Linked DNA regions of Sus scrofa. The protein of the gene in region 3 purifies or fractionates together with the protein of the main gene of each other region. This does not show direct contact. Links are inferred from orthologs where the notes say so. Each region holds a gene or a part of one and is shown on either strand. Other genes may lie near its edges.

Region 1 (10,149 bases), on a different chromosome or scaffold from region 3:
TGGTCGTCCTCCTCCTCCTTCTCCCCTTCCTCCTCTCCCTCCTCTTCGTAGTCGTCATCCTCCTCCTTTGCCTCCCACTGAACGCCCTCCTTCTCCTGGGAGGCCAAGGACAGACACAGAGAGAAGACGGCAAGGAGTGAGCCTGCAGGACCAGCAAAGACTCGAGACCCAGATCTGGGAGGCGCAGAGAAGGTGGGTGGGCACAAAGGAACAGGACACCTCAGTTTCCAAAAACGCTGACGTGGGGGGCAAAGGGACGGGGGAGAGGAACAAACGAGGGCCCCGGACACTTACACGCCTGTTACTGAGATGCCCAGGCAGCTGGGGGTAGGGAGAGGACAAGAAAAACCAAGGAGAGACACGGGTGGGTCCCTGAGGGCCGTAAGAGGTGGCACCAGTACTCACACAGTGGGGGCAGCTCCACTTGCCCTCAGGAGCCCGGTCAAGCTCAGGATCAAGGCAGACGAGGTGGTAGGCACGAGGGCAGGTGTCACACAGAATAATTTCCCCACCCTGCTGGCACACCTCACAGTAATCCTGGTGATCCGTCTCGTAGCCATCAACCTCCTCCTCCCCGGCCACTGCGGGACAGCCCAGGACTGTCACAGACCCCAGCGGAGGCAGAGGGAGCAGAGAGAGAAAGGAGCGAGAGGAACGGGGAGGGGAGAGAAAGAGAGAAGGGTTGAATGAAGAAGTCAAAACTGAAAACAAGGAAGACAACGAAGGAATGAGAGGAAGGCTGACTGACAGGACCACACCCAGCTGACAGCCCTACCCTTCTTCTTCTTCCGTCCTGGCCGGCCTCTCTTTAGTTTCTTGGTGCGGACGGGGCCATCGGGCCGGCCTGAGGCACTGTGGACACTGCCGCTGTCCAGGTCTGACTCCTCAGCCTCGGGTTCGGGGCCCTCGTCGCTCTGCAAAACATACTGCCCATAGCCCCGTGGCTGTCAGGGAGGCCCACTGGGTTCCACTGCCCCCCAGGCCTTGGGCGCCCGACTCCACTGCCCTCACGGACCCTGTGTCTGGACCTCGCCCCTGACCACTGCCCTGGGGTCTGACAGATGGGAGGGCCCCTCACCGAGCCACCCTTCTTCCTCTTGCCGCCCAGCAGGCCTAGTTTGATTTTGAGTGGTGCCATCTTCTTTCCCCGAAGCTTCTTGCGTCCATCAGGCACTCGGGGGCTCTTACTCCGCCTCTTATGGCCTGGACCTGAGTGAGGAGTGGGGGTGGGGGACAAAAAGCCGAGCTCATGACAACCTGCAGAAATGGAGGCCATGGGGGCCTCTTGGTGGGCTGTGGTCTCACTGAGACCCCCTTCCTGGAAAGCATTTCTTTTGCAACAATCGGAGCTGAGAAGACAAGAGTTCTGGATGATACAGATTACACGCAGTTTAGAAGGTGGGGTGAGAGTTGTTCCAGCAAGAGGTTTTCTTACCTTTGCCCTCTTTGGTTTTGGCTCTTCGGATGGGTGGGGGCTGGATATCAGCAGCAGGGGGTGGTGGAAGGGCGGGGGGTCCGGAAGGTGCTATTGGGGTGGCTGACGAGACGGCAGCTGACACCTGCTCAGCTACAGCTGCGGCTGCGGCGGCTGCTGCTGCTGCCACAGCAGCTGCTGACCCCTTGAAGGGGTTGTTGGCGCTGAACTCTCTCCACTTGGCCCCAAGGATGGTCATCATCTTAGACATTGGGATCTTAGGATTCTTCTTAGCAATCAGGGGCCTGTGAATATAGAAGCAGGAGACTCAGACCCTTCACAGATGGCCTGAGAAAGTGTCTTTTCTCCTCTTCTATTAAGTCTATGTACAAGCTAGGATTCCTGTGTGGTGAAAACATGTCCTGTCAAGAAGAAGAGCAATTTGGGAGTTCCCTGGTGGTACAGCAGGTTAAGGACCAGTGTTGTCACGGGTCTGATCCCCAGCCTCAACCGGGGTGACCAAAAAATAAACATCAATTTTATAATAAATAAATTAAAACTTTAAAAAGAAAAGGAAAAAAGTTAAAAAAAAAAGCATGAATAAAGAAAAAGAGGAGTTCCCGTCGTGGCGCAGTGGTGAACGAATCCGACTAGGAACCATGAGGTTGCGGGTTCGGTCCCTGCCCTTGCTCAGTGGGTTAAGGATCCGGCGTTGCCATGAGCTGTGGTGTAGGTTGCAGACGCGGCTCGGATCCCGCGTTGCTGTGGCTCTGGCGTAGGCCGGTGGCTACAGCTCCGATTCAACCCCTGGCCTGGGAACCTCCATATGCCGCGGGAGCGGCCCAAGAAATAGCAACAACAACAACAACAAAAGACAAAAAAAAAAAAAAAAAAAAAGAAAAAAAAGAAAAAGACAAGGGAGTTCCCACTGTGGCTCAGTGGTAATGAACCCGACTAGTATGCATGAGGACACGGGTTCGATCCCTGGCCTCGCTCAGTGGTTCAGGGACCAGGCGTTGCCATGTGCTGTGGTGTAGGTCCCAGACTCAGCTTGGATCCCGAGTTGCTGTGGCTGTGGCGAAGGCTGCCAGCTGCAGTTCTGATTTGACCCCTAGCCTGGGAACCTCCATATGCCACAGGTGCGGCCCTAAAAAAGAAAAGAAAAGGAAAGAAAGAGGCAAAATTGGAGTTCCCACTGTGTCACAACAGTTACAGGTGGTGTCTTGGGAGCACTGGCACACAGGTTCGATCCCTGGCCTGGCACAGGGTTAAGGATGTGCTGTTGCCGCAGATGCAGCTTAGGTGGTGACTATAGCTCGGATCTGATTCCTTGCCCGGGGAACACCATATGCTGCGGAGTGGCCAAAAAAAAAAGGCAAAATAAAATTTAAATGCACAGAAAATTAAAAAGGAAAAAAATGGGATTAATAAAAATGCTTTACTTGTTTTTTGGGCCTTGTCTGCAGCACATGGAAGTGCCCAGGCCAGGCATCGAACCTGCACCAAAGCAGCGACCGGAGCCATTGCAGTGATCATGCTGAGTCCTTAACCCGTTGCACCACAAGAGAATTCCAAAAATGCTTTACTTTTGACAACTGCTCCACAGTTTCTAAAACACTTCCACATACATAATATCTTATTTTGTCCTCATGATACGTCTAGGAGTTGCTATGATTCCCTGCACTTTGCTGAGTTCCACAGGCCCTGATGAAGCATCTCCGCAGCTGGAGTCTGACAGGCCACGCTGCTTCTGCTCTGCAGTGGGGTGTTAAGCCCTTGCGGGGACATGAGTGACCCTGGTGCAGACGGAAGCACTGTCTTTAGTGATGAAGCAGTGAGACAACAGGACTAACGACAGTCTCCAGGGACTAACACTGCTGGGGGCCAGGCACTGGGCATACTGGGCTTTCAACCATTATCCCATCAAATCCCCACAAGATCCCATGAGGTGCGTCCTCTGGGTGTGCCTATTTTACAGATGCGGAAACTAAAGATCCAAGAAGTGAGTGGAACCAGATGCCATCAGGACCTGAACCCCAGTAGGCTGCCTCCAGAGCATGAAACTGCTCTGCTGAAGTGCCTGCTTCCTCAAAAGGCATCTGTGCTGTGCTCTACTCTACTTCAGGAGCGCTGACGCTCAGGTCCCACTGTCAGCAATGCCTCCTCCATCACTGCTGGTGTCTAAGGAAGGGACAGATGGCTAGATCCCTGAGCAAAGGACACTGGGGGACACGAATGTTCTCTCTCCACTCCAGTCTAGACAGAAGTCAGCCAGGGGAAACTGCTGGAGCAGGAGGCCATCAGTCCTCCCTGAGTCTGTCACTACAGTTTTCTAACCTGGCAGTGGAACTGTGTCCCCCCCCCCCCCCCCCAGTGAAGGGTTCCTGACTGGAGTCCTTGGATCCTCAGGAGCCCAGGAATTTCCTGAGATGACATGCGGAATTTGATGTGTACATGCTGTGAATTTCTCTGGAGAGCAGTTTCTTATCTTCCACCAGGTTCCAGAGGGATCCAGGGCCTCCCCCTATTAAATGTGTCTGCTCGCAGGGACTCCCCAGTCCTACCGCACCTCATGAACTGGCTGAAGGCTTTGTAGTTGGTGAGAGTGTGGTAGTCCTCTTCGGAGAACACATGCTCCACGTCCTCCAGGCCCCAGGTCAGAAGCAGGGTTGCTGACGACTTCTGCTCCACCTGCTGGAGAGACCGGGCTTCCGTGAGGAGGGCGCCTCTCCAGCCCCAGTCCTGGACCCCCACATGCTCCTCTACACACCCAGGCACCCAGCAGGGGCACCCAGCAGCCTCCCGAGGCTTTCTGCCCCTGCCCCCTTCCCAGCCGGCTCCCCTCCTCCCCAGGGGAAACTAGACTTTCCACTTAGCATCTGCTCGTCCCCTCGCTCAGGGCTTTCCCTCCTCCGCCTCCACCTGTCAATGATCCTAATTCTCCCCTCACGCCCTAAATCTACTCACCTTTTGCCCTCCATCTCCCTCCCCTTTTTTCCGCCGCTTTGTCTTTTTCTCCTTTTTTTCTCGGTGCTTCCTTCTCCGTTTCCGACCGGGTCCGGTTCCATATTCACTGCCTCCACTCTCCGACTTCTCCCGGTACTCATCTCGCTCAGAGCCAAATTCCTCCTCGCTGTCCTAAGGGAGAGAAATAAAAATAGAATTTCTTTAGCCCTACCATGTGCCAGAAACTTTTCTAAGCACGTAACGTGTGCTGTCTCTTTCAAACCTCACAACGACCCCATGAGATAGTAACTTATCTATTTCTACCCACTTTTTGCAGATGAGGAAACCGAGGCACAGAGAGCCAAGCGAACTGCTCGAGAAGACAGAGGACTACGGGGCTCGGAATTCATGCAGTCTCCTGCCGGAGCCTGGGCTTTCACCTGCTCCTCTCTCCTCCAAGGCCAGTCACGGGGCCCACAGGGCTCCCCACTAGGATGCAGTGAGGGAGGCTAGGGTGCCAGAGCCCAGCTGAGGGGGCTGCGTAGAGGGGGTCAGGCCTTCCCGACTTCAGGATCCCCCCCTGGTAATCAGGACCAGAGGAAGCGCAGGCCTCTGCAAATGGGTCCCCGGGCCTAGCTGTAGAGACAGGAGTCCTGCACACTTACAAGCTTCTTGCGTTTTCGGGGTTTCCCTGGCTTGTTCTCCTTCTGCTTCTTGGGTCCTCGTTTTCTCTTCTTCACACCCAATGCTGAAGGCAGCAGCCGAATGTCATCTTTATCTTTGGAGCAGAGGGCACCAGAAAACTTAAGTCTCTATGTTCCCAGGCTCTGCGGCCCCTCCACTGCCTCACCTCCTAGGTTCTCACTCTCTAGGAACTCCCAGCATTAACTCTTCCAAATCCTGCCGCCCTTCGCTGGATGCACCCGAGTGTTTCGAGTACTCTGGGATGCTCGGATTCTGAATGGGAGGTCAGGGGTCAGAAGGGAAGAGCAGCCAAACCACTCCCTCCTCTCCCCTCCTACTAACAAGGGACCAGGCTCTAGGCCACGGGCTCTGACTGTGGCAGGTCCTTTTAGTCGCCGCCAGGGCTCCTCCTGCCTTCCCCCTCACTTAGCCAGCTGGCATCCTGCCCAGGAACTGGGGAAGCCATGCCCAGCTGCTGGCCTGGCCTGACCCCAGCACTTGGAGTGGGGAGACACAAGCTGGCAGCTCCCTAAGCCAGATGCTGAGAAGGCAGAGCCAAAGGTGGACACCTGGATTCTCACGCTAACACCCTGGGGCCCTGACATGCTTTTTGTGAGGAGGGAGGCCTCTATTTATAATTCCTCAGAGAGTCACCAAATCTCCTGTCACCCCAGCACAGCCCTGGAGGAAAAGAAATCCTCAGCCAGTCATGCCCACTTCTTGCCCACAGGATGGCGGGGTCTGGCTCCTGCATCACCACCGTCACCCCATAGGAGAAGAGCTCCACAATTACCTAAACATTCCTCCTCCTCCCAAGCAGCCTGGAATCCGCTTCAAATCTATTTTCACATCCCTGAGAACTCAGGGGCCCTACCCTTTGTCCTCTGGTCTCACCCCTTGTCTTCAAATTTAGTCCCAGACATTCTGACCCGTTCCTATGTCAAGAGTGTGGGAGACCCAAACAAAGATACTGGACCCCACCCACGGCACGCACATGCTCAAATGCTGAAGCCTCACACACACACACACACACCACACACACACACACACACGTAGGAGCACAAACCCTGAAGACAGCCTGTACCTGCTTCCCGCAGGGCTAGGGCCCTGGCTTTCTCTCCAGATGTTTCTGTCAGAGAGGCTGGGGCTGCTTCTTCCCAGATGTCCCCCCACCTCATTCTCCATGACCCCTGCCAGTCTGTGGTGGCTTAGGCGACAGAGCATAACTCCACCAGGAGGAAGACGCTGATGGATGCCACCCAGACATGAGGCCCTGCTTGGCCTCCCTCCTCCAGCAGGCACCAGACTAACCAGCCAGACCTGTCTTACTCAGGCAGAGGCAGCTGTGCAGGAGAGGAAAGCCTGGGCCTGGCCCAGCCCCTTGCTCTGGGACACACAATCCTTCCTCCCACACCAGCCAAGGGAAAATTAGCCACAATTAACACCGGAGGCCTCGGTTTCCATTGCCTCAGAATCCTGGCACCTCCTTCCTTCAGTGCTGCTTCTCCTAGTCCTGGGCCCTCCCCAGCAGGGAGACACTCTAAGACTGGGGTGGGGGTGGGGGGGCGCGTGAGGGCAGCCCGGGCACTGAGTGGGGCCTGCAGGAGGAAGTCAGTAAAACGCCGGTGCCCAGCAGCCAGCGCTCCCTAACCCCGGGGACTTCGGTTAATAAGAACATGGAAATGGAGGCTGCCGGGGCAGTGGCAAGGGCAGGCCAACTGGCTAAGGATCAGGGAAATGGCCCCGCCTCCGCCCGCGGGGGGGGGGGGCACAAGCCCTGGGACCTCACAGCCAGTTAACTCCCCCCCACCCCCGCCGCGCGCCCCCCGCCGCCCGGCAGGAGGTTCCCGAGGCTGGGCAGGCGGCGGCGGCGCGGAGAGGCAAGGGAGACGGCGAGGAAGGGGAGGGCAAGAAAGCAAATCTAAGTCCCAACCTCTGTCTCACCAGCCACTCAATGCTGGCCCGGAGCCCAGACGCTCCCACATCCCGGCTCGGATCTCGGGAAGACGGCGAGGGAGGAGGGCGGCGAGGAGGGCGGGCGGAGCCTGGCAGCCCAGAAAGCAGGAGGAGCCCGGCCGAAAGCCTCGCCTCCCGCCCGCCCCTCTCTTCTTCTAATCTCACCATCAATCTCTCACACATATATTTATTTTTTCTCAAATTCCTCTCCCTCCCCCACAACGAACCACCATAATAGGTCGGCTGCACATGCGTAGTGCCTGCAGGGGGTGGGTTTGTATTTTCAGACCTTTTGCAAAGAAACTACCAGAATTTTCCGCACCACCCACACGCATTCCCCACCCCCACCCCCAAGGAATCACATCTATATATTATGTTATATTATTTCTCTAGACTTGCCAGAAGGGGGAGGGAGAAGAAATGAGTTTTTGGCTTCCTGCTCCCTTCCCCCATCTGCACGAGCGCTATTATTTTAAACGTCTAACAATGTAAGGAGCCTGGAGAGGGGGAAGGGATAAAATTGGTCTTGGGTAAGAATGTAAAACAAAATGGTGAGAATCAAAGCAGTCGGAATGAAAAAAAAAAAAAACAATAGAAACCTCTAACACGGATAAATTCATCTCCTAGAGAAGGACGAGGGAGGGCAGCCTGAATACATTTGCCTCAGAGGAGGGTTATTTTGCCCACGCTTCTGTAGACAGAAATAATGGGCAGACCGAAAATATTTTCCTGAAGTTTTACCTCAGAAAGTCATCTGAGGGGGTGTATCCGGGTCCCCCGTTTGACTTGGAGGGCTGAGAGGGACATAAAATTGCCCTGGGAGAGAGAGGAGGTGGGTTTCCATTTCCAACGCACAATTTTAAAAACATTCGACGTTGTTTAGAAAGCGGAGGGGAAGGGGGAGGGAGTACTGACACAAAGACCCATCTCGACCTCAGATCCCTTCATGCTCCCCCTCTCCCACACCCAAATCCAGGGTCAAAGCCCCCCAGACGCCACGTTCCAGGTTCGGAATACACACAGGTGAGAATAGCCAGCCCCTTAACTTCACCTGACACCCTTTCTCTTTTTAGCACCTCTGCCGTGCTCCAGGCAACCCCTTGCCCTCAATTCTTTATCCCTTTTCCCCCCTGCAAAATCAGTGGGCTCTCTGGGCAACTTTTTAAAAACTTTTCCCTTTTTCAGACAAGCCTAGGGGCCAGAGTGGGGGTAGGAGTGGACTTATCTGTTTCCATCAGACAGGCATCCCCCTCCTCGCCACCAAGAAAGCACCCCCCGCTCCCTCAAAGGCCGTCTCAACTAGACAGGAACATTTGCCACATGAGCCACCCAGATCAATATGACAGTTTTACCAAGAACCTGATGTCAGATGTTTTGAAGTTTGGTGCATTTGCGCTGCATGGCACCCAGAGGCCTGGGGGTGTGAACACCCGAAAGATGCTCACCTAGTCTATCCTAAAAAAGACTAGCAACACTCCACCGGGAAGGTAGCCAGAATGGGGCCCCTGGACGCGAGGCAGCCGTCAGGCCCTCCAGCGCGGGCGGAACTGCCCAGACAGTGCGGGCGACTTGTCAACCCCGGGGAGGGATGCCGAGTGACGGTCAAGCTGCAGAACAGCTGGGTGGGCAGTTCACGCCCCCCGACGTGGTCAGGGTGTGGGTGGTTTCAGCGGGAGAGTGAGTGACAGTGAATGGCAGCCACGTGAGAGTCACAGCTGGGCAGCTCGGCCACCCCAGACTGACGGGGTCATGGGGGGGGGCGGCGCACTTGACACAAAAGAGCCCAGAGGAGAGAGAAAGGGGGTGGGGTTGGGGGCATCTGTTCTCCCAGACACTCCCCTCTTGCTCCCCAATCCTCAGTGACTGCTCTCCCTAGTACGAGCCGAACCGGGAAGAGGGGGCAGGAGCCAGTCTCATTCCAGGAAGTGGTCTGCGTGGAGTGTGGCCACCACCTGCCCCTAGTCGTCAGCCGCCCGCAAACATTCACACGACCCCTCCCCCACGTGCCACCGCACGCCCCAGAGTTGGCGGGCACCGAAGTCCCCGCAGGTGTGGGGGGGGGTCCGAGGGACACCCGCCCCCTCCCCAGCCGCTCCCCCGGCCTTCCCAACTCCTGACGAAGGGTGGGGTGGGGGTTAGGGCCGCGGTCCGCTCCTCGCGCGGAAACCCCACTTCACCTCGGTCCAACCCCACCGGGGCCGGAGCCCCAGGGGCGCCCGCGCGGCCGCCCCTCCCCCACGCGCCCCTCCCCCACGCCGCCGTCCGGCCGCCAGGGTCTCCGCGGTCCCTCGCTCGGCCAGGGAGGGGGCCCTGGCTTCGCCTTGGACGTTTCCTGCCTACCCCCTCCCCGCCGAGGATAAAAAAAAAAAAAATCTCCTCCTCCTCCTCCCCCGAAAGCCGCGACCGAGTGGCCCGGTCCGCGCGCGCAGCTCGCGCCCGGCGCTCTTCAGCCCGGGCGGCGGTGGCGGCGGCGGCGGCGGCGGCGGCGGCGGCGGCGGCGGAGGGGTGCGGCGGGGGAGGGGAGGAGGCCTGGCCCGGCGGCCGCCACCGCCGCCCGCCTGGACCGCTCGGACCGCCGGGACCGGCGCCGGGCGACGGGCCCGAGACGGCGCTCCGCGCCCCGGATTCGCCTCGGCTCGGCCGCGCGGTGGGTGCCTCGCCCCCGCCCGGCTTCGGGCGCCCGCGGCTCCCGCTTGGGTTTGGGGGGAGTCGGCGGCCGCTTACCTGGCGGCGGGGGCGGCGGCGGCGGCGGCGGGGGCGGCGGCGGCGGTGGCGGGAAGAGGTGGCAGCCGGGGGGGCTGTGGCGGTCGCGGCCCCGATCGTGGCCCGGCCCGCGCCCGAGTACTCCCTCGTCGTCGTCCTCCTCGTAGTCCTCGTCGGCCGCCTCCACCTCCTCCTCCTCCTCGTCGCCCTCTTCTTCCTCCTCTTCTTCCTCCTCCGACACCACCATCTCCTCCTCCTCCTCCTCCTCGTCCCTCAGAGGGGAAGCCATCCTGTGGCTCTGGCCCCCCACCACCCCCCCACCCACCGCCCGCCCGCCTCCCCCACCGCTACCACCACCACCTCCTCCTCCTCCTCCTCCTCCTCCTCCTCCTCCTCGGCGGCGGCGTCCTCCTCCTCCTCCTCCTCACCGCCTCCCCCAGCCCCCA
Region 2 (10,243 bases), on a different chromosome or scaffold from region 3:
GGCTGCTGCGCCTCCCTCGGCTCCGAGTCCTGAGGAGAGGGGTCCGCAGAGGCTGGGGGGGTCGGACGGCTCTCAGGGCGTGAGGCGGCAGGGGCCTGTGCTGGAGGCGGGGGCCCAGAGCAGAAGGCCGGCCATGGCGGGGCCGAGGGAAAGGACCTGCGGCAGGGCCAGAAAATGGCTGGCCTCGAGGCCCCAGGACCGCTTTCCCTCCAGGAGGGCAGAGGGCGCCAGGGCCGCTGCCTCTGCCCTCGGTGAAGTCCCTCTGCTCTCTCTGCCAACAGAGGAGCCAATCCGGCTGCTGCGGGAGGTGGTGCTGTTGACCGATGACCGGAACCTGCGTGTGAAAGCGCTGACCAGGAATGTGCCTGTGCGGGACATCCCGGCCTTCCTCACGTGGGCCCAGGTGGGCTGAGGGGGCTGCAGTGGGGCCCGCCCCTACGGAACCATTCCTGAGAGGCCACCAGGCGCCCAGTGTAGCACAGAAGATGCCCACGTGCCTGAGCCACCAATCCACCCAGACAATAAACCATCCTCTTCCAACCCACGCCGTGGCCGTGCTGTGGGGGAGCTGCTCCTCACAGAGCCCCTCCCAAGGGTCGGGCGGAAGCTGCCGGGACCCTCCTGGGCTGCCGGATTTAGCAGGGAGGTGGCTAGCTGCAGTAACCGCAGGCAGGTGAGCCGGGAAGCCGCCCATGCTCGGCCTCTCTCCCTCCCCCTGTCCAGGTCCGGGGCTGAGGGAAGGCCTTCCTAGCCCGGGACTCGGCCGCTTTCTCAGCTGGAGGTGGGGCAGGGGGTAGGGTTCCCATCGGATGCAGGCGAAGTCATGGGTCCCTCTCATCTTCTTCAGAACCCCTGTCCTGGGGGTGTCGAGCAGGTTTTGCTCTTGCCCTAAAAGTAGTGCCCAGGGTGTGTCTCTCCCCCTGAGGCCTGGATTTCCCCCCGAGACCCCAGCTGGGTTCTGAACACCATGTCCTAAACCGCAGCCCTCGGCCCCCACGTCTCCTACCCACCTCACCCCCAGCCCACACACCCATCCTGCTTCCTGCTGCTCCTCTCCCTGCCCTCGCCAGTCTGGGCCCATTGTACTTAGCTTCTTGTGTTCCCCTCAGTGGGTCCTGGGTCTGCAGGGCGGGGACATCTGCTCTCAAGCCCATGCTTCCTGGGTGGCCTTTCCCTGCTCCCTTTCCCCTCACCGGCCTTCCTTTTGCTCTCGTTCCCCCTTCGCAAACCGTCCTCAGACTCTTCTCGATTCGCCCTCCCGCTCTCCCTCCTCAGTCATCCATCCCCCTCGGCCTCCTTTCTCCTTGACCCCTCAGCCTCCAGGCCCCTCAGTTCCTTTCCATGGGGCTTCTCTCTCTCAGTCCTCCTCCTGCGAGACCTGTGGCAGGAGCCTAGTAAAGCCTCCCTGCCCTTGACCATCTTCCCCAGGCCTCTGTGCTCTGAGAAACCTTCAGGCTGGTCCAGTCCAGCCTGAGGGTGGAGTGGGCCAGTGCCTGGGAAGAGCATCGCTTAGCCTGGAGTTTGCACCGTTTCTAGCTTTGCCCTAGGACGACCGGACACAGGGAGGGGCCCTTTGGCCTTGGAGTTTTGGGGGTTGCCTCCTTAGCTGGCACCTGTGTTCAAAGCCTCCTTCCTACTGGGAATGCGTTCTCTCGACCCAGGGACAGGGATGAGGGGAACTTCGGGGAGGTTAGCGTTTGGAGGAGGAGCCCAGAGTAAATTTCGATGGGACCAGTGGGGGACTGCCCCAGAGCCTCCTCTCTGTCCATGCAGAGGCTGGAAGCAAGGCTGTGCTCTCCCTGAAGCCCAAGATTACGCCAGAAGGAGGGGGAACTGTGCAGGAGAGCCGAGGCCAGTGACTGACTTGGGGGGAGTGTAAGTCCCCCAGGGCCTCAGAAGACTGGGGGCTCTTTGGGATACAGGCTTCCCAGCTTCTCCTTTGAGATCCTCTCCCCTGGATGAGGGCTGATGACCGGGTCGGGCGGAGCGCGGGGCGGGGGGGGGAACCCCATCTCTTTTCTGTCCCATTGGCAGCACTGCTCTTGTTTCCTTAATAAATTTTTAGTTATGAACATGCCTGACCTCTTGCTGATCTGTCTCTGGGACTGGGGAGGGAAGGTCCGAGCCTCCCCACCTGTATGAGAGCGCTGCTTCTGGCCCCTGCACCCATCCCAGTGCCGCCGCCCCCCTCTTCCCCAGCTCCTTGTGCAGGGCGAAGAGAGCTGCTAGGTCCGGGGTCCTTGGTTACTGCTTTATTGCTGTTTGGTTCGAGTATAGAAAATGGAAGCGGCTCTGGAAGAGCCTGTGTACAAGGTAGGAAATAATACAAACGAGGAGGAGGGAGCTAAAGAGACCACGTTCCAGCCCAGCCCAGCCTGGGCTCGGGGTGGGGGGCCACCCGGGGCGCATGCAATAAATATGGTCCGGGGCCCCAGGGAAGGGAGGAGGGACCACCGCGAGAGTGGTGGGAGACTGGGTAGGCCAGGGCCGCCTCAGCCCTCTGACTCCAGAGGGAGGGAAGGGTTGGCCCTGGGGCTAGTGCCACTTGTGCAAAATGAGGAACTTCACATTATCAGTCCCGGGGCGGGCGGGGGGCGGGGGCGGGGGGGCCCTCCGGCCGGCTCAGTCCCCTCCCCGCTCCCCAGCTCTGCCCGACGCTCCGACCCCAGCAGGGAGATTCACAGTGAGAATGGGTGTAGTCGCAAGGGCCGGAGGTAGGGCTGGGAGCGCCCCAACAGTGACACCCCTCCCCCCAAGAGCAGCACGGAGCCGAGGGAGGGGGCCAACGAACCACAGGAAGAGGCGGAGAAGGGCCAGGGGTCTCCTTTGGTCAAAGCTGATATCAAAAATATAAATCTCCCGTCCCCCATCCCACCCCCGTCCCGGGGTTTCCCCCCACCCCCACCCCGGGCTAAGGCACAAAGCAGTGAGGCCAGGTGAGGCCGCAGCGAGGTGTGGCCGTCGCCCCTGCGGCGACGCTGCCGCTGCTACGAGAGTCGTCCGGGCGCGGGGTGCCTGCCTGCCTGCCTGCCTGCCTGCCTGCCTGCTGGTGGCCGCCGCCGCCGCTCCCTGGGGGCGCGGACCCGGGCCGCGCGGCGGCGGCGGCGGCGGCGGCGACAAGGCGGGCGGACGAGAGGCGCTCTAGGTGGGGGAGAAACGGTCGATGGTCCGGCCGTCGGGGCCGGCGGCCAGGTGCGCGCCCTGGCTCAGTACCTCCGCCGCCTTGTCGGGGCTGAGGCCCAGCTCCGCTGTGAACTTGGCGAGCGGGTAGAGGCTCTCGAGCGCCACCTTCGGGTCGTGCAGGAAGTGCGTGGTCTGGGCCAGCAGCTCGGCCGCGGCCGCCTTGTCCTGCTGCTTCAGGCTCAGCTGTTCAGCCGTGAGGCGCGCCACCGCAAAGACGCCCTCGGGGAAGTCGAGCTTGCCCTTGCCGTCGGGGCCGGGGACGCCGGGGAGCGCCCCCAGGCCCGCCAGCGCCCCGGCCGCTCCCGCCGCGCCACCCACGGCGTGCATTTTCATGTGGCTGATGAGGTTGCGTTGCTGGGCGAACTTGCCACCGCACACCTGGCATTCGTAGGGCTTCTCGCCGGAGTGGATGCGCATGTGCTCGGTGAGGCGGTACTGACGCGTGAAGCGCATGCCGCACGCGTCGCACGCGAAGGGCTTGAGGCCCAGGTGGCTGCGCATGTGGCGCGTCATGGTCCCGCGCTGCGTGAACTTCTTCCCGCAGATGGTGCACGGATAGGGCCGGGTCAGCCAGTGCGTCTTCTCGTGCTGCCGTAGCGTGGCCGGGTCTTTGTAGCTTTTGTCGCACGACGCGCAGCGGTACGGCCGCAGCAGCTCACCCAAGCCCCCCGGAGCCCCCGCGACTTTGTCCCCACTGCCTCCAAAAGGGGGCCCGAGGCCGGCGGCCCCCGCAGCCACCTCGGCCGCTTCGGCCCTGCCGTACAGCGCCGCCTCCTCCTCCTCCACGTGCGCCTCCACGTGCGCGTTCAGCTGCTCCGAGCTGGGGAAGCCCTTTCCGCAAGGGATGCACACGTACAGGTTGTCACCGAAGCTCTCGGGCTCGCCGTAGGCCAGGTGCGGGCACGGGTAGCCCTCGAGGTGGCCCGCGGGCGGGCTCGGGTCCTCGCTGCTGCCCGTCTCCTCGCTGCTGCTCTTGTAGTCGTCGCCGTCGCCGCCTGCGCCAGGCCCGTCCAGGCTGCCGGGGTAACGCGGCGGCGGCGCCAGGCCGAGCGGGGGCCCCCCGGGCGAGGCGGCCGGGTCCCCGCCGCGCTCCTCGCAACGCTCGCTGGGGGAGCCGCGCTCGCGGCCCAGGTCGTCGCCGTAGCTGCCCAGGCCTGGCTCGTGCTTCATCCAGCGATAGAGGAGGCTGGGCCCGTCGGGGCGGCCGGGGGGCTCGGGTCCCGGGCTGCCACTGCCGCGGAACGGGTCCGGAGGCGGTCCGGCCTCCTCCAGCTTCTGGAAGGGCAGCGGCGGCAGCGGTGGAAGGGCGAGCGGCGGCTCCTTGTAGGCTGCGGGGCCGGCGCTGGGAGGGCTGTCTGGGCGCGGGGGCAGTTCGCGCTCGCCCGGCGGCCGCTCGGGGGGCGCGGAGCCCGGCGGGCTTTTCTTGGACAGGTCCAGGCCACAGAGCGGGGAGCAGCGGCGCTCGGGGGCGCACAGCGCGGCGGCCGGGCCGGGGCCCGAGGCGTACAGCTCGGCGCAGTGCGTGTTCACCGCGGCCTCGGGGCCCGACGGCGGCTCGGCGGTGGGCGGCGGCGGAGGCCCGGCCGGGGACGAGTAGCAGGTCTGGATGACGGGCGTGGCGGCCCGCAGGCCCCGGCCCGGCCTCCCGTAGGGCGCGTAGCCGCCGCCGCCGCCGCCGCCGCCCCGCAGGTGGCAGTACTTGCCGTGGCGCTTGAGGCGCTTCTTGCACAGCGCCACGAGGTCGGGGATTTGCAGGTAGCTGGCGGCGGCCAGCACGGCGCCCAGGCTCGGCTCGGCCCCCGGAGCCACCGCCGCCGCCGCCGCGGCCTCTGCGCCGTCAGCCAGACGGCCGGTGTAGATGAAGTCCAGCACCAGGCGGAACACGGCCGGGCTCACCATGTCATGATCCAGGTTGAGCAGGTTGTCATGCACCACCAGGGACTTGAGGTAGGCGCTGCTGGCCGCCAGCACATTCTTGTGCGCGCGGAAGAGGGCGTTCTGCACCACGATGATCACGTCGCACAAGAAGCCCTTGGTGCGCTGGTTGTTGAGCTGCAGCAGCAGCTGCCTCGAGTGGCCGGGAGCCTCCATCGTGTCCAGCATCGTCTGCCCAGCACAATCTCCTGCAGGGACACACACCGGCCGGGTCAGAGCCGCAGCCAGCCCTCGCCGCCTGCACCCAGCCCGGCGCTTCTCCCCTCCACTTCCCCTTCCCCTCAGCTGGGCAGGGGCATCGAGCACCGCGGCCTGGGCGCTGGCGGAGGATCCGCGGCCTCTGGGAGTGGGAGCCTGGGCCGGCCGGCCCGGACCAGGAGAAGGAGTCGAGACTGGCTGGTGGAGAAGAGGCCAGGCTGGCCTGCGCCCCCGGGCCCGGATGCCGCCAGGCGCACGGCCTGGGTTCTGGGGGCTTCTGAGGAGAAAGCTGTTGGTGCGAAGTCACCCTTTGGGAAACAGTTACCCGATTTGAGGAAAATGTCCGCTTCAGGAAAAGTCATTCAAGGCCGAGAAGTTTGCCCAAGTGGGATATAAGGGAGCCGCGTAAAAAAGCGCCTCCCGCCTCGGGAGAAGTTGCCCCAGTTGGGGAAGTGGTCCGTAGGAGGGGAGCGCGGTGCCCGTCGTGGCGCCGCCCTGGCCGGGGGCTGTCAGGCCCTCTCCGTTGGGCCCCGGGCGGCGGCCGGCGCGCGGGGAGCGGAGGCAGCGGCTGCCGTGGCGGGCAGAGCACGAAGGCCGGCCCGGCGCGGGGAGGGCGTTATATCGGGGCAGGAGGCTGAGGCAGGAAGCAGGTGGGGGGAGGGGGGAGCCACGCAGCTCCCAGGGGAGGGAGGGGGCAGCGCCCCGGGCGGGCACGGCGCACAGCCGGCTGCGGCCCTGACCCTGGCTGCGCCCCACCCGCGTCCCGGCCCTGGCCTCGGCCTCCTCTCTGCATTCGCCGGCCCGGCGCCTCCCTCCGCAGCTCCCCTCGGCCCCTTCTCCACGGGAACTCCGCCGCCCCAAACTTGGGGAAAAGTTTCCCAACTTCGGGCTGGCCGGGAGGAGCGCGCCAGGCCCCGTGCCTCGGTCGCAGCTTTTCCTCTCGGCCCCCAATTTCGGCAGAGCCAGGCGCTGCCGGGCCTGAACCGAGCCCAGAACTCCCCGGCCGTCCGCTGCCCGCCCGACCCTTCTCCCCGCCTGGCCCGCAGGGCCTCGCGGCCCGTTACCTGAGGCCGCAGCCCAGCCGGGCTTCCCTCCCGGCGGCGGTGGCAGCTCCTTGCCGGCGCCCCACCCGCCCCGCTGCCAGGCGCCGCGCTGTGCCAGGGCAGCGCCCCTGCCAGCCCCGCCCGCCAGCTCCCCTTCCCTTCCCCTCGCCTCTGCAACCCATGTGCGGGCAGAGCCGGGCCCGGGCCGCTGACCCCGCCATGAACCCGGCGCAGAGTAGCGTCCCGGCGGTCCTGAGTTCTCTAGGAGCGACACCCGGAGCCCTGAACGCCAGCCGCGTTGGGGCGCCCGCGCCGGAGGATGCGCCCGAGGCGGCCAGCGCGCGAGGACCGGGCGTGTCCGGGTCCCCTGTCCCTCCCGGTCCCCAGCCCGAGGACCCACCTGGGGGGCATGTCGGAAGCCCCGGGCCCGGCTGCCGGCGGATCCAGGGGGGACGTGGCTGCGCTGCGCTGCCCTCCGCCCTCCGGGCCCCCGGTCGGTCTGTCCTGCTGGTCCGTCCTCCCCGCGTCCTGGTCGCGTCTCAGCCCCGCTGCTCTTTCCGCACACTCTTATCTGGAGCGGCCCGGGCCGGCAGGCGCCGCTGCAGCTATGGCGCCACCTCGCGGCGAGACTTGGCGCGGCACAGCCGCGACCTCCCTCCTGCGCACCTGGGCTGGAGGATCGCAGATGCAGGGCTGGCGGAGGCGGGGGCGGGGGGGGCTGTTCGCAGGTTCAGCCTCCCAGATGTGCCCATCTGGAGACCCAAGCCTCGGACCTGCGAGCCCCACAAGCCTCGGGATTTTGAGCTGAATGATCCCATGTACATATTTCTAAATTCTCAAATTGCCCCAATTCAGAGAAGTCTTGCCCACAAGGAGGAGACTCTGGTGAAAGTAGATGGTGTAAGAGAGGTTCCGAAAATCCTAAGGAAGAAAAAGATAGACAAGATAGTAGGGTACCCCCTAGATATTCCTGGGTGGGACTGTCCGTTTGTACCCACCCACCCCCTCAACACACCCTCCCTCACTCAACCCTGTGGGTATGGTATGCACAGAATAAACCCATCTGCACCCAGATCCTCTCTAGGCATTGACACTCGAAGGCGCTCATGTTTGCATACACACCTGCCCCCTTACGAAGTCCCGGCTTTCTGGCATACTCAGGGGGCTGCCATGTAGAGCCCTCTGTGACCTGGGCAGAAGTGGTACCCAAACAGTGCACGCTGAACTTGCATATCTCTGGAGGGACCCCAGGATGTGTGACAGGGGAACGGCTGGACAGAGCCTCTTGGGTGGTCCCGCAGAAGAGACCTAAGCTCCCAGATACCCTGTGCGAGCCATTTTTGAGGTACGCGCAACGGTCTTACAGCAGGGCCTGGAGCCCAGGATCCCCCGCAGGGTCCTGCACCCCCAAGTGAAGGCCCATTTCCTGCAGGTGACGCCCCTTCTAGGAGGGAGGGGACCCCTGCACTGGTGAGCGGGCAGTGGCACAGCTACTCCGGAAGTGTACCGCGCCGCCCCGCCATCACGCCAGGCCTGAAGCCAACGCCTGCGTGGCTGAGTGGATCTCCTCAACCCACGCTCCGCCTCCTCCCCGCACCTCCTGACCCCCGCCCACACGTGGAGGGTGGGAGTGGGTTCCGAGAAAGCCTGCAGCTTTTGATTGGCTGTGCCTCCCTCAGCCGCGGCGCACGAGAAGATGGGGCGCAGAGTTACCATAGTAACCGATGAGGTTCGCCCAGATCGCGTCTCTCCGAGGCCTTGGAGAGCTTAGCAACCGTGCAGGACCGCTGGGCGGTGGGGACGGCGCTCGCCGCACCCCCGCGCTGCCCTCCGCCCCCACGCCCCCGCCAGAGGTAGTGGCTGAGTCATTCATTGAAGAGCCGCCCGCGCGGTCGCTCGCAGTCCCAGACAGACACCAAGGTCTCGGGCGCCCCCCAGAGGCTCCCTTTCCTATACAGGCAACTACATGGCCTTGGGACCAGGCGGCGGCTCCTGGTCCCCAAAGGTTATTTTGACCCCCACTGCTTCCTGAGTCTGCCCTCACCCTGTTTCCACTCCTTGTTCTGGGTCTATCTTATCCCAGTCCTCTGCTCCGACTCCCCCACAACCCTGCTCCGGGGTCCTAAGGAAGTATGAGTTTCCAGGAATGAAAATGGGCTCCGGAGCTGTCAGCTTCTACGGGAGATGGACCTCGACATCTCTCTCTTTTTTTTTTTTGTCTTTTTAGGGCCCCACCCGCGGCATACGGAGCTTCCCAGGCTAGGGTTCCAACTGGAGCGGTAGCTGCCAGCCTACACCACAGCTCACAGCAACACCAGATCCTTAACCCACTGAGTGAGGCCAGGGATGGAACCTGCGTCCTCAAGGATACTAGTCAAATTCGTTTCGGATGAGCCACAATGGGAACTCCGGACCTAGACATTTTGCCGGAGGGATGTGCTATGCACTGAGGTGGAAAGTGTATGGAGAACTGCTGGGAGGCAGGAAGGTGCCTGAGAAGTGCTCTTAGATCTGGGCTTCTGTGGATGAATAGAAGTTCTCTCCCCAGCAGGAAGGCATTACTGGAGAAGAGAAGCAGCTGGACAAAGGATGGAAGTGAAAAATGGAATTCTAGGAGGCTAGACCCCAAAGGGTATGCAGGACCTCTTTGATCCCATTTCTGCTGTAATCTTTTATCTCCCTGATGGGGCCAGATCCTAGCCCTGCGAGGGTCCACTCAACCCCCTCTCTTGTTTAGTGGAGTCTGTCCACTGAGGCCCCACCCCAGGGTCCCCTGTGCCCAAAGCTATTTTCTTCAACAGTTCCCAGATTCCTATTCCCCGGGTTAATTCACTGCCCCAGCCCCTCCCCTCAAGCTGTCTTTACATCAGAACTGCCCCAGCCTAGCTGCCCTCCTGTGGACTTCACACTTCTTGACCTTTCCTTCCCTCCCTATTGCCACTGCCCTGGCCTGGTGTTGGACCCTTCCCACCCACCCCCCACCCTGATCTAGCTCCTTTCTCTGAACGCACTCCCCTTCCCCGTTTAAAACTTTCTTCAATTGCTCAATTGATGGAGCTAGGCTGGGCCAGGATCATTCTTTTCCCTGGCTCTTGTCCAGAACGATGCCCGCCCCCCCCACGGCATGGGCTCTTGCTGCCAATTCTGACCTCTGGGAACTTTTTTTTTTTTTTTTTTGGTCTTTTTAGGGTCTCACCCGTGGCATATGGAGGTTCCCAAGCTAAGGGTCAAATCACAACTGTAACTGCTGGCCTACACCACAGTCACAGAAACTCAGTACCCAAGCCGTGTTTGCAGCCTACACCACAGCTCACAGCAACGCATGATCCTTAACCCACTGAGCAAGGCCAGGGATTGAACCTGAGTCCTCATGGATGCTAGTCGTGTTCGTTAACTGCTGAGCCACGACGGGAACTCTAACCTTCAGGAACTCCTCCGGCAAGTGGTCTCTGCCCTGGTACCCCCTGGAGACTCTTCTCTGCTAAGCTGCTGAGCCCTTGGTCTCCTTGCTCATTATCACCCCCATATGAGTTCTGCCACTGTCTATCAGTCCACAAATGGATCCTAAACGCAGTTTGCTGCACGCCAGGCTCTGAGACTGGCCCTGTGGACCAGCTTTCCTCTCCTCCACCTGCTGAGGCTTCCTCTTCCAGTCTCCCCTTTCTCCTGCCACCTTTTCCCCAAATCCCCCACAGAGGACCCGCTTGCTCTTTTCTGGGGAGTCCAAGCCACCCTCTCAACTTTTCTGCCTTCCCTTGGGTCTCCAGATCCTTTCTGGTACCTGGACCCACACTGGGCCTTTCCTTCCAGGTTCAGCCTCCTTCTACAGTCTTCCAGACCCATGGGCTCCTCTTCCTCATGTCCCCGACTTTGAGGAACTAAAT
Region 3 (10,178 bases):
GAACCTGAGCGCTCCCCAAGCCCGGCCTCATCCCGGGGGCGTGGGGGGGTGGGCAACCACGCGCCCCCGCCCGCCCGGCCTCGAGCCCCCGACCGGCCGCTTCGGGGTTCGGGTGCGGCTGCCCCCAGCTCGTCGCCGCACCCCCTTCTGGCCGCACCCGCGTGGGCAGCGCGGCGAGCCAGATCGGGGCCGCGCATCCTGGGGCGGTGGCCCTGTGCTCGCCAAGTGGCGATGGGGGCGCGCGGCCCTGCAGCAGGGAGCGGGCCGCGAAGGGCGGCGCGGCGCTGGCCCGGCCGACCACTCACCGAAGTACACGGTCTTGTCGCACTTGGGGCACTTGGAGGCCATGGTCGGCGCGCACAGTCAGCCCGCGTCCTCCGCCCGCGCCCGTCTCCGCGCTGCCGCCGCCGCCGCGCCCTCCCCGCCTGCCGGGCTGTCCGCGCACCCATTGGCTCCGCGGCCGGGGCGGGGCGTCGGGAGCCCGCCCTCGGGTCTGGGAGCCCCGGACGCCGCGGGGGCGGGGGCGCACCTGCTGGGGCGGACGGGGGGTCGGGCGAGACCCGCTCGGCCTCCCCCGGCCGCGCGCGCGAGGTGCCCTCTACCCAGGCCCGCCCGCTCCTCGCCCGTTTCCATGACAACGTGGGGGCCGCCAGCGGGACGGCGGGGTGGGGCCGAGAGTCCGCGGGCCCCCTTGACCGGGGGAGTCCTGGCCAGCTGGCCTCTGTCCGGAAGGGCGGCGTCCCGACACGCAGACTGACGGCAACGGCGGACTGGCCGGTCCTGCCTGATCCTGGCGCTTGGGTCCCCGGAGGACCCTACCCCACCCTGCCTCGCGCCGCCGCCCGCTTCCCTTTGTTTCTTGGTTTCTATAGTAACCCGCGCGCTTGGATAGGAGCGGGATTCTGGATGGGGGCGCCACCGGGTTCAGACCCCCACCGACCCCACCTAAGGCTGTGAGTGTGCTGAAGTCTCGGCGGGTGGAGGATTGGGCGCCCGCCACTTCCAAAAACAGCGCGAGAGGGAGTTCCCGCTGAGGCCCAACGGGGTAGGGCGTCTAGGGAGAGCCGCGACGCAAGTTCCATTCCCCCGCCACCCCCTCCGCCGCCCCCCCGTCGGCCCAGTAGGTTAAGGACCCGGTGTTGCCGCAGCTGCGGCTTAGGTTGCGACTGCGGCTGGCTCAGATCTGATCCCTGGCCCGGAGCTCCATACGCCATGGGGCGGCCCAAGGCAAACAAAACATCCTGAGAGAAACTGCAGGAAGAGGGTGGGGGAGGGGATGCTGGCAGCAAGGGAACCCGAGGGGAAGGTGGCGGTAGGACTGGGAGGGGAGGAGGGGGAGGAGATGGGGCGCTCCTGGAGTGCCCTCTTCCCAGATGCCCAGGTGCACACCTTCTGCATTCTGCCCCACTCCTCAAGACACCTGCCTCGGGCATCTCTTCTCCAGACCTGGCTTAGGACCCAGGGCCTCTGACCTCCAGCCTGGTCCCAAAGCATCTTTCTGGAAGGCTGGGGAGCCAGGGGTCTGCCGGCACTCGGAGTCCCCCCCCCCAGGGGTCCACAGTCCTCCGGTCGACAGGGACCTGGCTGACAGCTCCCGGCTGGCTCTCCCTGTCTCCGCCCTTGAGCCATACAGAACCTCGCCCTAACCCCCAGGACGTGGGGACCTGGAGGACCTGTCCCACTTCCCAGGGGCTCTGCTCGTTCATAGGCTCTTTTCGGGGCCTCCATCCCCAGCCGAGCCTCACCCGTTGCCCTGTGTCTGAGGCTCTGTGCCAGACACTGAGGTCTGCCCCCCACTCCCCATTTCCTCTGCCTGGTGGCCCTGGCACCTGCTCCTGGCCCCTAGCCCCAGCATGTTCACGGGGTGGTTGAGTGAGTGAGCCAGCGTCTCAGCCCTCTCATGGCAGCCCGACCCTGGCCCTGCTCCCTGAGGCACCCCTGGGCCTGCACGCACACCCTTCAGCCACTGCCATTCCCAAGGGAGGTCAACAACCCAGAAACATGTGGCCCCCAAGCCTGACTGACCAGCCTGACCGGCCCCCCTCCCTCTACACTCCAGCTCTGGCCCCCTGCCAGTCAGGGTGGAGCCGGAGGGGAGGCCTGCTGGAGCTCCCTGGACAAGGTGGCCAGTGTGGGTCAGCATTCACAGCCTGCTCCTAGCTCAGGTTGGGCGTCAGGTGTCTCTGAATAATTCATGGTCTCTCTGCCCCCGTTTGGCATCCGTTACCAGGTCCTCCTCGGCAGCTTGGGAGCCCCTGGGGACCCCCAGGGGCATCGGCCTCCCTGACTCCGCCCAGCCCCCGAAGTTTGCAGGACTGCTCTGGAGGGCAGGCTGGTGGGGCACAGGTGTTTCCTGGGAAGGAATCTACTTGTGGGCCCCAGCCCTGCTTGGAGAGTGAATGGGCATGGAGCCCTGGCTGGGTGTCCCAGGGGCAGGGAGGGGAGTGGGGCAGTGCCGTCCCCCAGCTGTTCTGGGCCTGGATTGGGAAGGGGCAGAGCAGCAGCATCTGCCTCCGAGGCCACTGAGGACTGGAGGGCGAGGCAGGCACAGGCCGGGCAGCTCCCAGCGAGGACAGCAGAGTTTGAGGGAAACAGGCAGGGCCCCAAGGTGGCCAGGCCAGGTGGCCAGGTGCGGCGGAGGCCCCTCCCCTGGGGCCACAGCAGCATGGTGCCCTGCGGATCACCTGTCATCCCGGCTACACAGAGGAGCCCAGACTTACTTTCTTTCCTGCAGGGTCCAGGGGCGGGGGGCGGGGGGCGGGAGGTCCAGGCAGGGAGGGGGCCCCAGGCTGAGGCCCTTGTGGGGACTCTTGCCCACCTGAGTTACCCTTGGCCCTGGGGGCTGGGGAGGATGGCTTCAGCCCCCTGCCGGGTCCACGAGAACAGGGCAAAGCTGGCAAACGTATGTTGGGGTGCCCAGGACCCTGGTCCCTGCCAGCCGGTGCCCGATCCCCACCCAATCCCTACGCTCGGGCTCAGACCTCCCAGGTGCTGCGATGCGGGCAGGGAGCCCGACTCTCCTCGGGGCTTGTCTGTTTCTGGGACAGAGAGCTGTGTCAGGATGAGAGCTAGCTCACTCGGGCCTGGGGGGTCCGCAGGCTCAGACCCCAGGTCTGGAGAAGGCCCCGGAGGAAGCTAATGTCTTTCTCAAGGTCACCAGCCTGGTCTCCCAGCCCCCCGCAGACACCGCAGCAAGTCCTAGGGCAGTGGGGCACGGGCGGGGGTGGCGCCAGAACGGCAGATTAGAAATGGCCGGGGGTGCCACAGGCACTTCTCTGACACCCTGGCCTGCCACCCCTTATCTGCCTCCGGTGAGGGAGCAGAGTGGTTTCTATTTTAGCTCCCCAGCTGAGTTGTCTACACTTCGGCAGGGCTGGAGCAGCAGGCGGCAGAGCTTGGGGAGGAGGGAGCCCCTCCAGGAGGGCCGAGCTGACCCCTCTCTGCGGTGGTGGAGGCGGCGCAGCCTGAGAGGCGGCACTCTTGGATTCCCCCCAGCGGCTGCCCCTGCTCCGCGAGCTCGCGAAGGTGTGTGCAGAGGGCCAGCCCGAGGTAGGATTTCTGAGAACGGACTTGCTGAAATCTGAGCAAATTCGCCAACGGAAACTCCACACCTGCTGGGGTGGCCCCATGGCTCCTGGCAGAAATCCTCAGACAGCTGAGGCAGGGCTCTGCCAGGAGCAGGCTGGCCAGCCGGCTGCCACGATGGGAGCCCGGCACCTGCCAGGCGGTCCCAGGCCAGGTCCAGACCCCCACCCCCACCCCACCCCCGCAACCCTGGACAGACAGAGGGGACCTCAGCTCCCCCATGAGAGCCCTGAGCCTTGGCAGGACTCTTTCCTGCCCCAGGGGAGGGATGCAGGAGCCAGGGACACGGGGCAGAGGGTCGGGGAGCACCAGGAGGCCCAGCCCAGCCTGGAGGCCGGCACAGCAAGGGCCACGTGCCCAGCGGGCCCTTGAGAGTCGGGGCTGGTGGGCCCAAGGGAGGGAGACGGACCAGGGACAAAAGACACGGGAAGGGTTAGCTGGTTTTTTGTTTTTATGAGTTTTTTTTTCTTTGTTTTTTTTAATATGAAAATTACTTGAAAAGACAAGGGGCCACCCCACCAGGCAGCTCGGCCGGCCGCTGGCCACGCCGACCCTAACATTCCGGGTGTAAGTTACAGAGCTTAAGTTCATCTACAAAAAAAGTAATAAAAATAAAATTTAAAATGGCACCTTCAACAGAACACAACAGAACTCCTGGCCGGCCCACGAGGCCCAGCGGGGAGCAGGCACTCGGGGCGGCTCCTCGGCTCCGCTCCGGCCAAAAAGTAAACACAAAGCTAAAAAAACGACCCCTGGGCGGGCGGGCGGGCGCTCCGGGCGAGGGACCGCGCCGGCTCCCGGGCTCTCCCAGGCGAGGCGCAGTTTCTCGGCAGGTGAGGGCGGGCAGGGGCACTACCAAAACCGGGCGGCGGGCGGCGGGCGGCGGGCGGGCGGGCGGGCGGCGGCGGGGGCGCGGCCTGTGGTCCGAGCAGCCGCGAGGGGGCGGCGGCGGCGGCGCCTAGTCCTCGATGACGATGGGCTCGTCGTTGACGGGCGCGGGCGGCGGCGGCCGCAGCGGCAGGGCCTGGCTCTGGCGCAGGGCGATGGGCTTGTAGGGCCGGCGGGCCGCGCGCTTGGTCTCCGAGGACGAGAGCAGCTTGCGGATCTTCCTGTGAGCGGAGCCGCGGGTGACGGGGACCGACGGGACCGACGGGGACGCGGTGCCCCCGCCCCGCCCCGCCCCCGCGGGCCGCACCTGGTCTCCTCGGTGGCCATGTAGAAGACGTCGTCGGGGGCGTCGATCCAGTTCATCCGCCGCCGCTTGACGGGGGGCAGGGAGCCCCCGCGGATGAGGCGCACCTTGGTGGGGTACGCCTTCCCGTTGAGCAGGAGGTTCCGGCTTGGTCCCTGTGGGGGGAAGCGGGAGCGGTCAGCCCTGAAACCCCGGGGGCTGACTCGGCCACTCCGGCGGGCAGGGGACCCTCGGAGGGCCGTGGGGACCCCAAGGCGCACCCCACCTCTGGTCCCGCGGAGGCGGGGGGGGGGGGGGCGAGCTCCTGCGCAGCGCCTGGCGGGGCTGCCGGCGGAGCGTGTGAAGGTGGGTTCCTCTTACCATGTGCCTGGTCTGCCCGTGGTTCGCCAGACCTGAGGGGAGGAAGGCCGGAGCTGAGCCCTGGGCCACCGCCCCCCACGCCCACCTCCTCCCCAGGACCCACAGCTGAGCAGCAGGAAACCTGGGCCACATCCCCCCAAAGCCACAGCCCACACCCAGGGGGCCTCTGCTCCCCTGGGTCCTGGCCTTGCCCGGGCCCCTCTCTGGCGCTCTGAGGGCCACCAGCCGGGACTCTGGGTGGGAGCCAGGAGTCTCGGATCTCAGCTCGCTCCCTGGCTTTGCCTGGGCGGGACAGATGGAACCTGGTTTACACAGTAACCAGGCGACGCTTGGCACAGCTGTAAATAGAGCACCGAGAGGCCCTCTGCAGGGCGGCCAGGGCCCCGGCAGCCCTGCTGGACCCCGGGAGGCGGAGCTGCCAGCTGGCCAGGCTCCGGCCAGGGCACCTGCACTTCCACCCTGTGGCCTGGGGGCTGGAGCCACAAGCCATGCCAGCGACTCAGGAAAGGTGCTGTCCTGAGTCAGAGTCCACACCGTGAACCGGTCCCTAAGACCCCAACTCCCAAACACACTCAGATTGAGTCGGCCTGTGAGGAAGGCGTGTGCGGGGTAATGAGTTGGTGTCTGTGTGTGGGGAGCGCGTGTGCGTGGTCGTGAGCCGGCGTGTGAGGGCTGCGTGGTCACGAGAGTCCGTGTGCAACAGGTGTGTGCACGTGGTCGTGTGAGGTTTGTCCCTGGACGAGCAGAACAAGAGCCAAGCGGCCGCCCTCCCCACCAACCGCGCGCGCTAACTCAGCCCCCGCCCCGCAGGCGGGGGGAGGGCCTGGCACCGCCGGCAGCCCTGCGGCCCGGCTACTTACCCAGGTAGGTGCCTAGCAGAGGGACAGCGGCGGAGGAAAGAGAGCGCAGTTAACCGGGAGCGGGCGCGTGTGCCGCGGCGGCCGGGGTGGAGGCCGAGTTAGGCCCTGCCGCTGGCCCGCGCCCGCAGCACCCCAAGGCCAGCCGGGGCCGCCTCCCAGGGCTCCCAGGACCTGCACTCGGGGCTGAAGCAGATGTGCAAACACATCGGTTTGGGAAAAGCTGCAGAGGGAAATGGACTTTCTCCCCCGGCTGATGAGCAGCCTTGCACACTGCGGCCCCACTGTGCCTGCTGGCGGGCGCCTGCCTGCGGCGGCCTCTCTTATGGGACGTGAGGACCATCCCTAGGGGCCTGTCGTGGGGGCAGCAGGGCAGGTCAGCCCCTACTGCTGAGCCCTAGCACCTTGGCAGCCCCGGCTACAGGGGACGACAGGGAGGACGCGGCTGGGGACCAGGCGTGCTGGTGCCTGCCCTGGGGGCCCCTCGTCCCCACCAAGGGGGTCGTAGATGAGGCAGCAGGGCAGGCAAGAGCCTGCATCCAGACAAGTGCGCTGGCAGAACCTGGCACTGGCACCACCGGCTGACCCCACAGAACACACCTGCCAGGCTCCCAGACACAGCCGAGAAAGGGAGCACCCAGAGGACAGGGCTGGACTGGAGATGGCCACTGCCTGCTGCCACCTCCCAAGTCCCCATGGCTGGCACCCACCCCCCACAGGCGCCAGGATAACCCAGCCTGGCCGACCACCTGGGCCAGTTTCCCAGGGCCGGCAGCGCTCCCAGTCCTGAGCTTGGGTGGGGGCCCTTGGCATGTCCACAAGGCACAGTGCCCACATGGGACCTGACCTTCCCATCACGAGTGACAGGCAGGAGGAGCGCCAGGTGCATTTCCTGGTCCGCCCCCTGGGCTTGGCTCCCTGCTCACCGTCCGCAGGGGATCCTACTGTAGGCTGACCCTCGCGGGCGCCGGACACATCCCTCGCTGCCGCTGCGACCCCCTCCCGGCGCCCATGCTGGGGCAGCCCGTGCCCAGACACGCCTTCCCCAGCTAAGGGGGCAAAAGCAGGGCTCTGGGCAAGCTAGGGGCGCCCCACACCAGAGGACACTGCCCACCTGGCTCCCGATGGCACCCCCACCCACCCACCCACCTGGAAGGGCACTGTTGCCTCAGCTCTGGGTCCCCCAGCCCTGGCTGTGCCTCCCTGTGGGGCCCTGGCCTAGGAGTCCACCCAGGTCTTGTAAACCCCCACCAAGCCATGCCAGCTGGACCACAAATGTGTCTCATCTGCCCCCAAGGAACCAGGGTCCCAGAACCCCCCACTGGGCAGGGACATAGGCTGAGGTTGCAAGCACAGCGCAGGCGGCCACGCAAGCTGAGGCTGATGGCATGCGGGCGGTCACAACGCGAAGGCAGACAGTGCAGGCAGGCAGCGGGGGCACCAGGGCCACCCGAGCAAGGACAGTCCACTGACCGGGCACTGGGCCAGGAAGGAGGGGTGGCCCGTGAGCCAGAGGCCAGCGCTCAGATCTCTGCCGAGTGACAGGTGAATCGGGAGAAGGGGGGCAGCAGGGCGCGGCCCAGCCCGCGTGGACTGCCCTTGGACGTGCCCTGAGCCGGCTGCCGCGCATGCGTGAGCACAGCACACACAGGCTCCGCGCAGAGGGCCGGCAGAGCAACCACGCCAGCGGCGCCCCGGGCCTTACCCCTACTGGGCATCAAGAGGCGCTTCTTCACGTTGCCTGGCAGCGCCCGACGGCAGGAGAGAGGAGAGAACACACAGTCAGTGGGCATGGGTGGGGCGGGTCCAGGGCCGGGAGCCCCGGGACCACGGGCTGAGCTGGTCAAGCCCCCTGACTCACCGTCCACCCCGTTGTGCTGCTCGTAGCTCCTCTTGCCTAGGATGGTGGGGGAGCCGTTGTTGATGACGGGGGCCGACTTGGCGGGGGCCAGGCCGCTGAGCACACCCGACACGTTCTTCACGGGGTCGGGCTTTGGGGGCCGGGGATGGGTCTCTGTGGGGGACAACGCGGCAGGCACGCTGTGGGTCATCAGCTGTGACGCCAGGCCCTGGCCGAGGGCCCCAGTTCACACGGGGGGTCCATGGCGACCAGGGCCCTGGGCATCCTGAGCAAGGACAGCCCCTGGCGCCGATTTCCTCGGTCTCAGCCCCAGCCAGTGGGGCTCTAGGCACCCATAAATAAGCAGGCCCACGAAGGGGTCAACGGCACTCATGGCACAGGGCTGGCCACCAGCCAGATACTGCATCAACGGCTCGGCCGGCTGGGCAAGGACAAGCCCCCAGGGCTGTCCTGGCAGCCACAGGTCACAGCTACCAAGGCTCCCCAGCCCTCAGGGGCTCTCAGGGGACACAGGTCACCCCCTCCCACAGGTCGGGACAAGGTCAGCCTCAGGACCCAGACAGCAAATGGTGTCAGGGCCACTTGTATCTGCCGTGAGCACGCTTGGCTCACGGTTCTGGAATGTCCTTCGAGAGGGAAGGCCGCCATGGCAGCAGGAGGAACTGACTCGCGAACACGGCCAAGCCCGGCAAAGCGGGCCGCCCCGCCCCGCCCAAGCCCCTGGCCGAGCCAGCAGAGGGGCTCAGGAGCCCCAGGCCACGAGGGCCCTCTCTCAGAGGCTGCTGCAGAGCTGGGCACACCTCCCAGCCAGCCGGGAGCCTGCCCTGGGGGCGCGGGGTGGGCATGGGGAAGCCCGGGGACTTCAGGGGCAAGGGGGGAGCAGGGAGGGAGACGGCCGGCCGGGCCCTGGGGTGGGAGGGCAGCTCACCGAGGTACCGCAGCACAGCTTCCAGGGGCTTCCGCACGGCCTGCTTCAGCACCAGCGGGCTCTGGGCGGCTTCGGGCAGCCGGGCCGTACCTGTGGGGGCCGTGGGCGTGAGGGGTCCGGGTCAGAGCTCCTCCTCCCGCCCCGCTGGCATCTCCTCCCCCCAGAGACCGTGACCCACGGGCGGACACTCACACTCGGCCTTGATGGCCGCGCTGTTGATGGGCATGTAGGGGTGCCGGGCGGCGTGCCACGGGCGCAGGATCTCTCGGCACAGGCGCCGGGCGATCCGCGTGAGCTTGGTGGTGTGCAGGTAGAAAGCCTGTCGCGTCTTCATGGCAAACTTGGGGCTCCCGCTGCTCCGGGCTGGGATGCCGTGGGGGCTCTGCGGAAGGGGGCAGGCCGCCCCAACACAGCGCCGTGACCGCGGGCCAGGCCGCGGGGCACGGGGGGCGGGGGGTGGGCACTCACCATGTTACTGCGGTTGGGTCCTGGCCTCTCTCCATCTAACCGGGTTGGCATTTTCAAGCCACCATATTTCTTCCAATATGTCCAACAAGACGCGCAGAGACGACACTGCATGTTAGGGGGACCCCAAGAATACCACTGGTAAGACTGGGTGGCTACGGACAACAAAGTTGGAAATAGACGGATTCTTAAGCAGAACCAGTGATGGCAAGAGAGCATTACACAGCTGTCGCCCGCCCGCCACCCTGCCCGCCCCGGGCCCGGGCACCCCGGCACCCGCTCCGAGAGGGCTTCTTTCCCCAGGCAGGGTGGGCCCCCGCCCCCAGGCCAGGCCCCACCCCCACCCCCTGGCCCCCCTCCTGCCCCCCCCACCCCGCGCTGAGGGGCGGGGTGTGCCCTGGGTGCTGGGCGGGGCACTTACTGTAACAGCTCTCGCAGGCCCGGCCGGCCCCAGGGCTCTGGCCCGGCGCCCCGCCGTTCACCACGCCTGCCTTGATGCTATTGACGCTGATCTGGTTCGGGTTTGGCTTGTTACTTGGGGGAGGGAGAGAGGGAGCCGTCACGGGAGCGCCCAGCTTCGCACCGCGGGACCCGCCTGGCCCTGGGGGAGCCGCTGACCCATGCCCCCTATGTGGCCTTTCTCTCCTCGGGTCCCAGAGCAGCTCCTGTCTACAGCCGAGCTCCACCCGCCCCAGTGAACCCTGGGCTGAGCAGGTTTGAGTCCTGACGCCTGTGCCAGCTGGGAGGCTGAGGGAGAGCCAGGGCCGGGCCCGCCGCCCCCGGACCCCCCTGGTCTCGAGCCAGGCAGTGCCCCTCCCCCGGCCCACCCAGCCTGGCCAAGGACAGCCGGCAATGGTGCTTAGAGGCGCACTTACTAGTTGGGGATGTAAACTTGCTTTAACTTGCTCTCTGCTTCGGCTGCCTTCAAGC

The links.
Region 1: the proteins of MTA1 (region 3) and CHD3 purify together in Homo sapiens (affinity purification with western blotting; 7 studies listed by BioGRID and IntAct, with this or other methods). This does not show direct contact. The link is inferred for Sus scrofa from reciprocal best matches to the Homo sapiens genes MTA1 and CHD3.
Region 2: the proteins of MTA1 (region 3) and HIC1 purify together in Homo sapiens (affinity purification with western blotting; 3 studies listed by BioGRID). This does not show direct contact. The link is inferred for Sus scrofa from reciprocal best matches to the Homo sapiens genes MTA1 and HIC1.

The regions. Positions count from the first base shown.
Region 1 is NC_010454.4:53,135,638-53,145,786, reverse strand, and holds the start of CHD3 (chromodomain-helicase-DNA-binding protein 3), read right to left. Parts: upstream 6,747-10,149; 5' UTR 6,223-6,746; coding exon 6,129-6,222; intron 5,814-6,128; exon of another isoform or gene 5,799-5,813; coding exon of another isoform or gene 5,699-5,798; intron 5,139-5,698; coding exon 5,026-5,138; intron 4,553-5,025; coding exon 4,382-4,552; intron 4,109-4,381; coding exon 3,984-4,108; intron 1,720-3,983; coding exon 1,436-1,719; intron 1,210-1,435; coding exon 1,079-1,209; intron 927-1,078; coding exon 776-926; intron 600-775; coding exon 406-599; intron 96-405; coding exon 1-95.
Region 2 is NC_010454.4:48,164,534-48,174,776, reverse strand, and holds HIC1 (hypermethylated in cancer 1 protein), read right to left. Parts: upstream 6,747-10,243; 5' UTR 5,679-6,746; coding exon 5,642-5,678; intron 5,307-5,641; coding exon 3,142-5,306; 3' UTR 2,237-3,141; downstream 1-2,236. Other genes in the region: SMG6 (telomerase-binding protein EST1A), read left to right, coding at 282-412. UniProt on the Homo sapiens protein: Transcriptional repressor. Recognizes and binds to the consensus sequence '5-[CG]NG[CG]GGGCA[CA]CC-3'. May act as a tumor suppressor. Involved in development of head, face, limbs and ventral body wall.
Region 3 is NW_018084979.1:3,489,586-3,499,763, reverse strand, and holds the end of MTA1 (metastasis-associated protein MTA1), read right to left. Parts: coding exon 10,124-10,178; intron 9,783-10,123; coding exon 9,670-9,782; intron 9,404-9,669; coding exon 9,252-9,403; intron 9,166-9,251; coding exon 8,976-9,165; intron 8,874-8,975; coding exon 8,784-8,873; intron 8,009-8,783; coding exon 7,856-8,008; intron 7,736-7,855; coding exon 7,700-7,735; intron 6,010-7,699; coding exon 5,998-6,009; intron 5,170-5,997; coding exon 5,138-5,169; intron 4,933-5,137; coding exon 4,781-4,932; intron 4,695-4,780; coding exon 4,544-4,694; 3' UTR 4,022-4,543; downstream 1-4,021. Other genes in the region: CRIP2 (cysteine-rich protein 2), read right to left, coding at 306-348. UniProt on the Homo sapiens protein: Transcriptional coregulator which can act as both a transcriptional corepressor and coactivator. Acts as a component of the histone deacetylase NuRD complex which participates in the remodeling of chromatin.